Linked DNA regions of Oryctolagus cuniculus. The protein of the gene in region 1 interacts with the protein of each later gene in a pairwise test. Links are inferred from orthologs where the notes say so. Each region holds a gene or a part of one and is shown in the gene's direction. Other genes may lie near its edges.

The links. The genes of interacting proteins can lie anywhere in the genome.
Region 2: the proteins of KRT40 (region 1) and ZNF202 interact in binary tests that used the Homo sapiens proteins (3 or more experiments, as listed by UniProt). The two-hybrid records come from large-scale screens. The link is inferred for Oryctolagus cuniculus from reciprocal best matches to the Homo sapiens genes KRT40 and ZNF202.
Region 3: the proteins of KRT40 (region 1) and MXI1 interact in binary tests that used the Homo sapiens proteins (3 or more experiments, as listed by UniProt). The two-hybrid records come from large-scale screens. The link is inferred for Oryctolagus cuniculus from reciprocal best matches to the Homo sapiens genes KRT40 and MXI1.

Annotation. Positions count from the first base shown.
Region 1 is NC_091448.1:21,611,476-21,615,338, forward strand, and holds the end of KRT40 (keratin, type I cytoskeletal 40), read left to right. Parts: coding exon 1-151; intron 152-229; coding exon 230-355; intron 356-1,489; coding exon 1,490-1,710; intron 1,711-2,189; coding exon 2,190-2,289; 3' UTR 2,290-2,732; downstream 2,733-3,863. UniProt on the Homo sapiens protein: May play a role in late hair differentiation.
Region 2 is NC_091432.1:116,114,143-116,118,925, reverse strand, and holds part of ZNF202 (zinc finger protein 202), read left to right. Parts: exon of another isoform or gene 1-2,111; intron 2,112-2,122; exon of another isoform or gene 2,123-2,862; intron 2,863-3,119; 5' UTR 3,120-3,216; coding exon 3,217-3,618; intron 3,619-4,220; coding exon 4,221-4,428; intron 4,429-4,783. UniProt on the Homo sapiens protein: Transcriptional repressor that binds to elements found predominantly in genes that participate in lipid metabolism.
Region 3 is NC_091446.1:19,963,075-19,967,857, reverse strand, and holds part of MXI1 (max-interacting protein 1), read left to right. Parts: intron 1-2,289; coding exon 2,290-2,404; intron 2,405-2,965; coding exon 2,966-3,137; intron 3,138-4,783. UniProt on the Homo sapiens protein: Transcriptional repressor. MXI1 binds with MAX to form a sequence-specific DNA-binding protein complex which recognizes the core sequence 5'-CAC[GA]TG-3'. MXI1 thus antagonizes MYC transcriptional activity by competing for MAX.

The DNA of each region.
Region 1 (3,863 bases):
GCTCCGTGGCCAGCTCGGTGACCGACTCAGTGTGGAGCTGGACACCGCCCCCACCATCGACCTCAACGAGGTCCTGGATGAGATGCGCTGTCAGTATGAGACGTTGCTCGCCAACAACCGCAGAGACGTGGAGGAGTGGTTCGCTGCTCAGGTCAGGCCCGAAGCAACATGGGAGCAGGACTCCCCGCATGTGCCTCGGCAGGGTTCTCTAACCATGCCTGTGTTTCAGACAGAGGAGCTGAATCAGCAGCAGCTGTCCAGTGCAGAGCAGCTGCAGGGCTGCCAGACGGAGATGCTGGAGCTGAAACGCACAGCCAACACGCTGGAAATTGAACTTCAGGCACAGCAAAGCCTGGTGCGTATGGCAAAGAAGGTGTCCGCCTTGTCACTGATAAATCGGGCTCTGACAAACACCCTTTCCCACAACCCAAGGCAGAGATCCCCAGTTCGTGTGGCAGGTCTGGATTTCCAAGTTGCAAGGATTCCGCTTCCTTGCCTTTCCAACCACCATGCTTACCCAGCTAGAGGCAGAAGTGACAGGTCAACAGCTTGCACCGGCCCACCAGGGTGTTCTAACCTTCCCCGCAGGCCTGAGTGCGATCCTGCGGCACCCCCCAGAGACAGGCAGGAGTGGAGAGGCCACAGCAGCATAGCACGTAGGCAGTCCAGAGGATTTTAAGTCTCTTTTGATCAGGCCAATATGCCAAGATCACCATTATACTAAAACAAAGACTTTAAACTTTTCACCCTACAATGATCATAACACTTCTCAGGATCCACACTTCACCCTGATCCTTCACTGCACGCCACCCAGCCCACGCAGGCAGCAAGGCTACCACGCAGGCAAGATTACACTAGCCAGTTCCAGTCCAGCACTGCAGTGTGGACTGTGTGGGGTCCTGCAGAATTTCTAGATGAAGAATAGCTGAGCACTCTTCTTGTGAGAGGCATCATGCTAATTCAAGCCTGACCATAACTTTATGGGATAGAAACCTTTATTAACCCCATAACAATGACAAGGAAAACTGATATTCAAATTAAGAAATCTGCAGAAGGTCATGCAGAAGTGGAAGCTGAATCCAAGTGGTTCAACCCGGAGCTCCTCCTGTAAACCACACTATCCCACTCCTCCTACCAGGACCCCAAATTCAGAGTTCTTCTCAAATGCTACGGATACTCCGTAAGATACACAAACACCCCATCGGTTGCAGTAATCACAGGTGCAATAGCTAACGTTTCCACAGCCCTTAAAATTCTTCCAGACACTTCTCCGAGCACTGGCATATATCAACTTGGTTGATCCTTACAGCCTTCCCATGAGATAGGGACTTTGCATTCTCCATTCTACAGAGAACAAAACTGAGGTTCAGAGAACCTAAGGAACTTTCCCGAGGTCACATAGCTGGAAAAGGGTAGAGCAAGAATTTGAACACAAGTTGTCTGGCCCCAGAGACTGTGCTAGTCTTTGGACAATGTCTTCCTCCTGCAGATAGAATCCCTGGAATGCACTGTGGCAGAAACCGAGGCCCAGTACGGCACCCAGCTGGCCCAGATGCAATGCCTGATTGATAATGTGGAGAACCAGCTGGCTGAGATCCGCTGCGACCTGGAGCGGCAGAACCAGGAGTACCAGGTGCTGCTGGACACCAAGGCCCGGCTGGAGTCAGAGATCAGCACGTACCGGGGCCTGCTGGACAGTGAGGACTGCAGGTGAGTTCCCCAGTGACTCGTGGAATCCCCCAGTCAAAGTGGCTGATGTGAAGAATCCTGTTTCCCCCGTAGGGCCAAGGTCAAACCTCCCCAGTGCATCGAGGGATCTTTTTGAAAGACTGATGAAAACCTAGCTGAGGCTAAGCACACACCAATAGAAAAGTCCTAGCATATTCTGAAGCCCCAGAGCAGAACAAGGACCAAGCTGGGGGCTTCTTCACGCACCTCTTTTCCACTAATCAGGAACACGCCTAAGACAGTATACTACAAAATGAAGAAAACACCCCCAACATATTATTCAGCAGCCACTGCTGCAGGGAGCACCATGTAACACTCTGGGTCCACAGCTGAAACAGGCTTCCCTGCAAGGCTGTTTGACAAGGAGTTTTCTCCAGAATGCAATGTGTAGGGTGAACTTGAACTTGGACATGTTATCAAGATTCCCTGGTTCAGCTTGGATCCACCTTAATTTTCCCCAGGCTTTCCTGTAATCCCTGTTCTACAGCGTGCACATCAAACAGCACTTGTGAGCCATGCTCAGCCTACGTTCTCTGCACAATTGAAAACTGCCACTTGTGATCCTTAAACACTCAGCATGTCAGCAGGCCAGGAGACGGGCTTCAATGACGGACGTCAAAACCAGAAACGCAACTCTGGAGGGCTTGTAGAGCTTCAATTGTCCTCCAAGTATCCTTAGATATTTCTGCTTTATCATTTTCTCTCCTTTCAGCTCATTTTGGTATTCTAGGAGCCAGTAGAGCTTTCTTGCAAATCTCCAAATACAATGTGTTTCATTGCTTTAGCATGGTAAATACAGCTCTGTGACTTCTTGTTCTTAATATAAAAGCCGCCTGATGGCAAAGCAGTTGTTTAAACCCATGACCATAGTTTGAATTTGCAAATATTCTCTAACTCCTCAAATACAAATACATTAAATCCATGCAAAATGTCACCTACCATGGAAGATACTTGTATGCATCTTTTTGAGAGAAAACTTATAAATAAAGTATAATAAACTGGGAAAGGCATTCGGTGCAATTGTTACAACTCTACTTGTGACACCCACATCACATATCCAAGTGTCTGGGTCCAAGTTCCAGGTCTGACACTAATTCCGGTTTCCTACTAAAGTGCACACTGGGAGGCAGCAGTGGGTATTCAAGTGTTTGGTCTCTGTTGTCGCTATGGGAAACTGGATTGAGTTCCCAGCTCCCAGCACTTGGGGAATGAGCCAGCAAATGACATACCTGCTCATTCACTGTCTGTCTCTCTCTCTTAAATATTTATATTATTTATTTGAAAGACAGAATTGCAGAGAGACGTAGAGACCAAGAGTGAAAGAGAGGTCTTCCCTCCACTGGTTCACGCCCCAAATGGTTGCAATGGCCAAAGCTGGGCTGATTGGAAGCCAGGAGCCAGGAGCTTCTTCCAGGTCTCTCTTGTGGGTGCAGGGGCCCAGGGACTTGGGCATCCTCCTGTTTTCCTAGGCACATCAGCAGGGAATTGGATTGGAAGTAGAGCAGCCAGGACTTGAACCAGTACCCATATGGGACACTGGCACTACAGGCCAGGGCTTTCAACCCAGTGCACCACAGCACTGCTCCCTGGCCCTCTTTTTCTCAAATATTTTAAACATTAAAAAACATAATACAACATGTTTTATTTTTATTAGGAAAGTACTAAGTTAACTTTTTAAAACATTAACACATTAAAGGGAGAAAATTCTTGCATAATTTCCTCCCATCCCCCACCCAGCAATCATTGTTAGCCTTTTTAAAACAGGTTTTTCCACCTAGATACAATCACATTTGCAGATAAACAGTTGTGTAATCTTTCCCTTTTTCACTATGTCATCTAAGCATTTTCAGTCCTAATAAATAACATGATTATCTCATGACCATCATTTTAGTGGTTGCATAATATACCACAGGCACATGGAGCTGTCACTGGACATTTAGGTAATAAGAATAATTAGTCTCACCTTTAAAAAGCAAAGTAAAGAATTTCACCTTCCAAAAAAATATTAACTGGGTGCACAGTTCCTTATTCTTCCTCCTCTGTATAGCTAAAAATCCTGGAAGTTACATATAAAACAAATATAAGAAGACTCTGAAAAGTAAAAGAATAAAACAGGCTAAGTAGAGATTTGGGGC
Region 2 (4,783 bases), on another chromosome or scaffold:
ATATTGAAATTGATTCAGATGCTCAGTTGCGTGTGACTTGCATTTGGATTATCCCCATGTAAAACTGAACACTCCTTGTGATGACTTGTGGTTCCATCACTCTGGGAACCATGAAAGTATTCCGTTTTTCTCACAGTGCAAACAATAAATGTCTTTTCTTATTTATTAATTTATCCAGCACACAGATTGCTGGACAAATGAATGAATAAATAATACAACATGGCATCTGTCCTTCCAGAGACAGACTTAAACAGAAAGCGTGCTTAGCATTCAGTAGTTCACCTTTTGGGGGCCAGACTCTGATCTGGCTGCAGCACATGCTGCCCTCAGCACCTCTCAGTCCAATGAGTTTAACTGCAAAAGGAACAACTTTGATGACCAAGTATGCATACATTGCATGCTGTGGTATGGTGGGGAGCAAGTTCCTGGGGAGCATAATCTCCAGTGATTGGAGAGGGCACTACAGGAAAACGAACTGAAAGATGAGTGGAGGTAGCCAAAGGGAGAGGCTGAGTGAGCTGTGTCAGGAAGGCCCGGTGAGGGCATGGCAGAGACACTGAATAGTCATTCCAGCTGTGGCCTTCAGTGGGGGTGGCGGTCAAGGAGAAAGGAGGTCATCAGGCCAGGTCTAGAAGGGCCTTGAGCATCAAGTTGCAAAGAGTTTCAGTTCTATCCTAAGGACACGACAAAGCCATTGGCAGGTTTTGTGTGTTTAGAAAGCTCACTGCTTTTACTTCACCATATCTCAGTGGAGCTAATGTGGGTGAGCTTCCTGCCTATGTAGTCTCTCCCAAAAACTAAAGATAAATGTGTCGCTTTCAGAGGCAGACATAAAAGCTAGAGAAATAAGTACAAGTTGATTCCACCATGGGCTTAGGGGATGTTATTACCAAGAAAAGTTTTCTAGGCTTCTAATACCTGTGCTGCGACCAGGAAATAGGACTACGATATTAGGAGGTATGGAGGCTGTAGAATTGAGCATTTCAGAGCTACTTCTCCATGAAAATCTGTCTGCTGGCCCGAAAAGTGCAAGGAAGTTAGATCTCCATAAGTTTGACTAGGACCAAAATCACTTGAGGACAGAGGTCAAACAGTACATTAAGTGCATGATTCAGGAATACCCTGATAAATTTAACCTAAAGACTTATCCAGGGTCAATGAAACTTAGCATTTTAGTAAAAGCAAATCAAATTCCATTCAAGGGCTCACTTTTACAATTTGATGCTTTCAGAAAGATAAAACAGAGCATGTTTCCCTGTAAAACATGGGAGTGAAGAAGAGAGAACGTGTTAGGAATAAACAGGAACAGGAGGAGTTGGAGAATGTTCTATTTAGAGGGAGCAGGCTTCAAGAAAGCATGGAGGCCTGAAAGGGCACCCTGTTGTAGGTGGATCAGTGCGTTCAGTATAGATAGGTGATAAAGAAGAGTACAATGTAGGCTTGGAAAACAGATTGGGGTTGACTATCCTGTGCCCAGGATTTCAAAACTAATCTTACTAAGAACTTACTATTTTAAATATGAGCAATGTAGTTAGACCTATAACTTAGATATGATTAATAGTAGAGTATCATTAGTCTTCTAGACATTTAGTACTCCATTTGATACTTAACTGTACCCTATTGGATGATTGCCACAATTATCTCTGTTTGGTAAATGGAGAGCCAGCATAAAGAGAATAAGAACTTGACCATAGTTCCAACTTTGTCCCAGTAGACAAAGTACAGTAGAGCCAGGATCCAAACCATAGCTGTCTGATTCCAGGGCCCTGGCTCTTAACCTTACACACCTTCCTCAGTGTTTCTCAACCATGGATGCACAGTAGAACTACATATGGCATTGCTTAATTACAGTTGTCTAGGTTGAATCAGAATGTCCAAAAGAGTGATGTGTGATACTGTACCCTTTTGCAAAAACTCCTCCTGTAACTCTTTTGCATTGTGCTTGTAACTGCCTACTGTAGGGACCCCAGTAAGGAGATGATGGCAGTGGTCCCAAAGAGAAATGATGAGGGCCCAGAATAAAGCTGTCTGCCGGAAGGGAAGAGGAAGAAACACAGAGGCTTAAGTGATAGAGTTGGTTTAATGAGCGTTAAGCACCGAGGAAGAATCAGGTGAATCCAACGCTTACTACAAAGTCGATTGTTAGTAACAATGATCTCAGCCAAGACATGATTCCAGAAACAAGTAGGTTTGGGAGTAGGAATAATGAATTTAGTTTTGAACACTTGAGCTTGAGGGGCCATGCGTCAGCCGATTGAAGATGTCTTAACAAGAAAGGTTGGTTTTTAGGGTTTCTGTGTGCCAACCACTATGTAAGCCCTCACTGTTACAGAGCCCTCCCCTCAAATCTCTTGAGTCCCCATTTTTTATCAGTTAATCCTGACTGAGTCAGAACACAGTGCACCTCCATAAAGCCTTCCACATCTATTGCAGCCCTGCCACTGTTTCCCAGGATGTATGAAGATTCTTCAAAAGGTTCATGGAAAAATGGAATTGAAAGTTTATTTTGGTGCAAAAATATTGTAAAATCCATACATTTTTGCATAATGTACATTTTTTCATGAGCTGCTTGAAGGTCCCTTTTGTGCACGAATTTCAAAACTTTTTGCACCCAAATAAACTTATCTTTTAATCTCATTTTTCATGAACCTTTTGAAGTACCCTAGTACATGCTAGTTCATATGTAAATAGGCATATACATACAACAAACGCTGTGGTCAGTCCTAGTAGGTGATTGATTGTAAGAGTGCTTACTCCTAGCCATTGGAATACTGCAGGAACCCCAGTTGGAGATCACAGCAAGGGTACAGACTAAAGCAGCTGGCAGGAAGGAAGAAGAGAAAACAGATTTGGAGGCAGAAGGTAAAATCGGTAGTATCCATGAAATAGAAATAGAAATGCAGTATTTTCCTTTGGGCTATGAATGTGGCTTAGGAAAGGGAGTAGAGGACCAGTCTCCAGTCATGCATAATCTCCTGTCCTCACTAGAGCACAACACAAGGTATGGAGACCAGGGGGAAGGGGACATAATCAGGTGAAGAATTATGTGTAGGGGCCTGTCCTGAACTTGTGTATCATTTCACACTTACGTGACCCTTTGTCTTTATTTCTTCATCCAGGTCCCTTGGGAGAAACTCCTCGAGGTGTCCAGGCTGAGAGTTGGGGGCAATGCCAGTGTGAGCTCTAGATGGTGTGAGACCGCCCCAGAGCCAGGAAATGGCCACAGCCTTGGAGCCAGAGGACCAAGGGCTTTGGGAAGAAGAGGGCATTTTCACGGTGAAACTGGAAGATGATTTCCCCTGTCGGCCAGAGTCTGTCTTGCAAAGGGACGACCCTGTGCTGGAGACATCTCACCAGAACTTCCGCCGCTTCCGCTATCAGGAAGCAGCGAGCCCTCGGGAAGCTCTCATCAGACTCCGAGAACTTTGTCATCAGTGGCTGAGGCCAGAGAGGCGGACGAAGGAGCAGATCCTGGAGCTGCTCGTGCTGGAGCAGTTCCTTACCGTCCTGCCTGGAGAACTGCAGAGCTGGGTGCGGGGCCAACGGCCAGAAAGCGGCGAGGAGGCGGTGACGCTGGTGGAGGGTTTGCAGAAACAGCCCAGGAGACCAAGGCGGTGGGTGAGGAGGGGGAGTCCTGATCTGTGTGATGTGGAGGGGGACTCCCTTCTGGAAGGCTGGGTGGGCAGGGAGAGCTCACAGGGCCTCTGTCGATTATCCTTCAACATCTAACTGACTCTGCCTCGGGCTTGGCAGGGGGACGTGTGTGTATGAGTGTGACCTTCTGGGTTTGAAACACCTGTCCAAGGGAGCATCTGGGGGGACTCAGCCACTCCAGAGTCCTGGCCTTGGTTTTCCCTCTGGATGCTGAGCTTTCAGTTCCGAGGGAGGAGAATTTGGCGACTTCTTCAAAAGTTCCTTTCAACACCCAGTCCCAGCTTCCCTTCCAGGGTGGTCAGCCATAGCAGCGGACAGCAAGGGGCACTGTAGGTGGGGTAGTAGAGGTGGGTAGGATGGGAGCCCCAGAGCCCCGGGTGCTGGGAACAGGGTGAGTGTCTTCTGCCTGGTCCTGGGGAGGAAACCCTTCAGCTCCCCTTCCCAGGCCTCCTCACCCTGCTCCTGGGGGAGCTTTCCCCAAGGAAGCTTCTCCCCAGATAAGCCAGGATAACAACCAAGAATTTTCTTCTGACTCCACGGTGACGGGAAGTTGGAATTATTCCCAGGTGACCGTCCATGTTCACGGCCAGGAAGTTCTATCAGAGGAGACAGTGCATCCAGGGACAGAGGCCGGGTCCCCCAGTGAGCTGCAGGATCCTGCGCAGACCTCGACCCCTGAGCAGTCCCAGGAGGAAACCACACCAAGCCCAGATCTGGAGGCAGTGGAGGAACAGAGCCCGTGTCGTGAAGAGGAGCTGCAGCCTCCTGAGACAGGTGGGAAACCTCAGCAGGAAGAGGGATTGTGGCTGAGTGCGCCCGGCGTTTCACCTCTACCAAGGAGAAAGGGTAGATTGCCACAGGGGGAAGAAATGACAGAATCCAGGATGTTGACGAGACAGTTCCAACCAGAGTCCCCTGTAAACAGGGCCAAGCCTCGCTACATTCTTGGATCTCTTGTCATTCTGGTCTTCCTGGAGCTGGAGCTGCAAAACTTGAGCTGCCGATGGAACAGTTTCTTGGTGCCCATAGCAGGGAGGTTAGGGCTACATTCCTGATGAGGATGATGAACAATGCTCAGTTCTTGCCAGTTACTAGGATACGATGTTGCTAATCTCAACATACACACACA
Region 3 (4,783 bases), on another chromosome or scaffold:
CCCCCAGCCTGCTGAGCTTAGAATGGCAATTCCTCACAGAATTTCAACTCAGTTTTCCCTTGGATGAAAGAAAATAATCTATTTAATTTTAGTTTTGAAGTTGGCCCAATCTGTAAATTTAGGTCCTTTTACTCTTTTTAAATTACCTGGAAAATCCTTGCTTTTTCACAAATTCAATATTCTTCAAATCGAAAGTCAGATTTCAGCCTCTCTCACAAGCCTGCCTCCTCCCCTTCCAGTCTGCATTTATTCAGAGTGTGTTGCCCTTGATACGTGTCAGATTCATTTCAGTACGGACCAAGTGAAACAAAATAGTGTTTCATCTGTAGCCTAGACTGTAAACTCACAAAAATCCATTTCTTTACTTTTCCTGCTCCAGCAAGTGTCTGGAACAGTGCTGAGTACACAAGTCATATAATTAATATACTACTAAATGATTTTTAAAAGAGAAGAAAAAGAGTTTAATTTTCAGCCTAGGTTTTAGTAAATCTCACAAAAGAGGGAATTAACCCAACTTTTTCTTCCTTACCCTGAAGCTAGTAAGGAATCATTTTAAAGTTCTTAGATTAAAATGTGAAAGATAATTCCTAAATATATTGTTTCTGCAGTTAAGTAACCCAAATTTCAGAAGCTGTTCTTTGTACTAAGATACTTTTTTTCTAATTTTCCTAGTTGCTTTATTAACTTTTAGAAGATAGTGACTTTAAAATTAGTAAATAATATTAAAGGCAATCCATTGGTGCACCTTTAGTTTTAGGAAAATAAGAACATTCCTTTATCCACACCAGGTATGTCAGATTTCAGCCTGGAGACAATTAATAGACTTGAAGTATTGAATTCAGTAAAGATATCTGAAATGGGAATAATAATACCTTTAACAATAGCTGGCCTAGTGGGTGCTAAGAGTCTTGGTAATTTGTCCTTGCTTGTGACATAATTGATTGCTTATCATCATTTCCTTCCACTCTGTGAAATTGGTAGTATTTGGGAATTCCACTTGACATTATTTCCTAAGACAAAGCAGTTTAGTGGATCAGTTTGTAAAACCATTTTGGTTTGCTTTGAGAAGCAAATGGAGGGTATGCTTTGTTTCTAATACAGTCGACAGAGTTGCTGTAAGTTCAGTTACAGCTCTTTAAGAAGTATATGAACTTACTTTCTTGTTCAGATATGCTGTTAAATGCTGGATTACATTATGACTTACAAAACACGGGACCAAAGATGTGGACTAGTACGAGGTATTTTAAGAAAGCTCATAAAAAATCCATAAATATATGGTCCAAAAATAAAAAATGTTTTGCACTTAACCATCTTTTAATTCTAATTTTCCATGAACTTTCTGAAGTACCTTCATATTGTTTCAAGATGAAGAAGATGTGCTCAGAACTCACTGTCCTCCCCACGATCTTAGTTCTTTTTAGAGCACAGGAGAGGTAAATGCATGAGGCTGTCTGCTAACAGTCCATGAGAAATTCCTCCCAACTTCACCACAAGATAGTGGGCAAAAGAATATGATGACTTTCAGTAAAGAATTTTATCCCTTGTTTTCCTTGTGGAGAAAATTGGAAGTATGTAGTGAGAGGAAGAAAGAAAATTAAAAATTAAGGTAATAATGTCGGTATACTTAGCTAAGAAGGGGATAGTATTCTGGGCTGTCTGAGTGGCTAGAATTGTAGACGAGGCTGCATATTTTGTCAGATTGGTTACAGAATGTTGCTGTTTTTGTTGTGCTGGATCTTATGAAATTGGCATTTTTATAGATGAGAAATGATTGAATATGAAATTTCATGTAGCTTAACTTCATACACACACAACGACAGGAAACATTATTAAGATGGCTGTTAATTGTGGGGATGTATGTGTGCAAGTAAAGAGTAGGAAGAAGGAAATGCAAACTTGGGAACATTTTTTTAACTCTTTAGAGTGCCACAACTGAAAAGCCCTGTGCTACCCTGTGGTTATCGGCTTTCTAAATCAAACAGTTAGCTTAGTATATTTTCACACTTCCATATTAATAAAGTTGAGACAGTTTATGGGATAGACTAAAAAATAAACCATCAGTAACAGATTACCACTGGGGACAGTAATGTGAAGTGGAACAGAGTACAACAGAAGTAGCACAATCTGAAATGCAGGCACCCCTGTACACACTTTGAAACTGAAGAATTAGGGTTCTAAAATGGGTATAGGCTGAATAACTGCAAAGTACTGTTTGTCTTAGAATAAGACTTTATCATGTTTCTACTGGAATACCCAGACTGTGCTAATTTGACTATTTCTTTGTCTTAGGCGAGCTCATCTGCGCCTATGTTTAGAACGCTTAAAAGTTCTGATTCCTCTAGGACCAGACTGCACCAGGCATACAACACTTGGTTTGCTCAACAAAGCCAAAGCACACATCAAGGTGAGAATTTTTACTTTCAGATTTGTACATGATTCTCTGAGTCCTGCTTAAATTATTAGGAATGATTCCTACTCATACATATCAGCTAACTTACCGTGCCCTCCTTAAGTATCTCAAGAGAAATCTTTTTAAAAACTTACCAGCTAATCTGATGGGAGCAACATAACCTGATTAAGCTAAATTATTTTGACAGCGTAGCCGTCTGAAGAGCTGGGAATGCTAGGAAAGTAACAGTTACTTTCTTGATGCCCAGAAGGACAGCAGTTGTGCCCTCTGGTGGAGAGGACTTCATTTGGTTAAGTTCCCTCAGTATTTTTCCATCAGATACCACCACACTCAGATTACTGTAGAATCCTCAGTGCAGATGGCTTTTCAGAAGTCCTTATTGTTCAAGAAATGTGGTGTTCATACACAAAAAAGGAGAGAACTATGTTGATGCTTAAAAAATAGGCATTTATGTATGATTCATTTGTTTTCTCTGCCAGAAAATTTTCAGATGTTAGGTAGAAATCTGTTTGTATTGGACTGCACACAAACGTAAATAGCATTTTATCATTTTAGAAACTTGAAGAAGCTGAAAGGAAGAGCCAGCACCAACTCGAGAACTTGGAGCGAGAACAGAGATTTCTGAAGCGGAGACTGGAACAGCTGCAGGGCCCCCAGGAGATGGAACGGATACGAATGGACAGCATTGGATCAACTATTTCTTCAGATCGTTCTGACTCAGAGCGAGGTAGGCAGTGCACCTCTTTCTCTACTGAGATACTGAGCGTCTGGATTTGTGGAGGGCAGGTGGGGAAGTACTGATGGCTTTCTTTTTAGCCAGTCGTGTAACATTCTAGGTTTTATGCAACCACAACATTATCTAGCAGTTTCTGTGGGACCTATAGAATTTTTGTTTATTTTTATATATACTTTGTATTTTGAAATATTTTTATTTTTTAAAGATTTATTTATTAGATTTATTTATTTGAAAGGCAGAGCAATAGAGAGAGATCTTTCATCCGCTGGTTCACTTCCCCAGATGGCTACAACAGCCAGGTTTAGGCCAGCTTGAAGCCAGGAACTCCATTATGGTCACATGTGGCAGGGTCCCAAGTATTTACGCTATCTTCAGGTGCCTTCCCAGGTCCATTAGCAAAAAGCTGGATGGGATGCAGAGTAAATAGGGCTTAAGCCGGTGCCGCGGCTCAATAGGCTAATCCTCCACCTAGCGGCACTGGCACACTGGGTTCTAGTCCCGGTCGGGGCGCCGGATTCTGTCCCGGTTGCCCCTCTTCCAGGCCAGCTCTCTGCTGTGGCCAGGGAGTACAGTGGAGGATGGCCCAAGTGCTTGGGCCCTGCACCCCATGGGAGACCAGGAGAAGCACCTGGCTCCTGCCTTCAGATCAGCGCTGTGTGCCAGCCGCGGCGGCCATTGGAGGGTGAACCAACGGCAAAAGGAGGACTTTTCTCTCTGTCTCTCTCTCTCTCACTGTCCACTCTGCCTGTCAAAAAAAAAAGGGGGGGGGGGGGGCTTGAACCAGCATTTGGAGCCATTATGCCATCCCCTTGAAATAATTTTAAATTTATAAAAAGTTTTCAGAGTTCTCATATGCTCTTCACCTAGCTTCCTCTAATGCTTGAGTAACCATAATAGTTATCAAATTAACCATAACAGCAGACCTCACTGAAATTTTACTAATTTTCTCACTAATGTCCATTATCTGCTCCAGGGTCCTATGTTAGACCTTGCTTGCATTGCATTTGGTGGTTCCTTGGTCTTTTTCTTTTCATTAACACTTTTGAAGAATTCTAGGCAATTATATATATATATATGAATATATATATATATATATGATTTTATATACAAAATACAGTGTTCCTTAATTTGAGTCTGATGCTTTTAGGTAATGAGATTAAAGATAGGTGATGCATTTTTGGGCAAGAGATATCACAGAAGTGAGTTAGCTATGTATATTTTGAAGTACTACTACCCTTTATTTCTTTTCTCATCTATCCTACAACAAGTATCTTTGGCAAAATTAAAGAACAAAAGCCAATCAAAAAAAAAAAAGAAATGGTCTTTTACTGACCTGTTCATCTATAGCTGTTACCAGTGTCAGGGCTCATACCACAATAAAAGATTCCAGCAATGAACACTGATGACTTTAAGCCTTACATTTGGGAAACTGGAGTTCATGAGACCTGGAGGATTATTATATATTGGACAAGTGACACTCGTTTTTAAGCCTGAATTTTAGTTTTTGTTTTGAATTTTATAATGGAAATTTCCAAACATACTTAAAAGTAAAGAAAATAGAACAGTGAGCTCCCATGTATCCATCATCAGTTTGAACAGCCGCCCACGTTCTGTCATTTATTCTCTACCACTCTCAC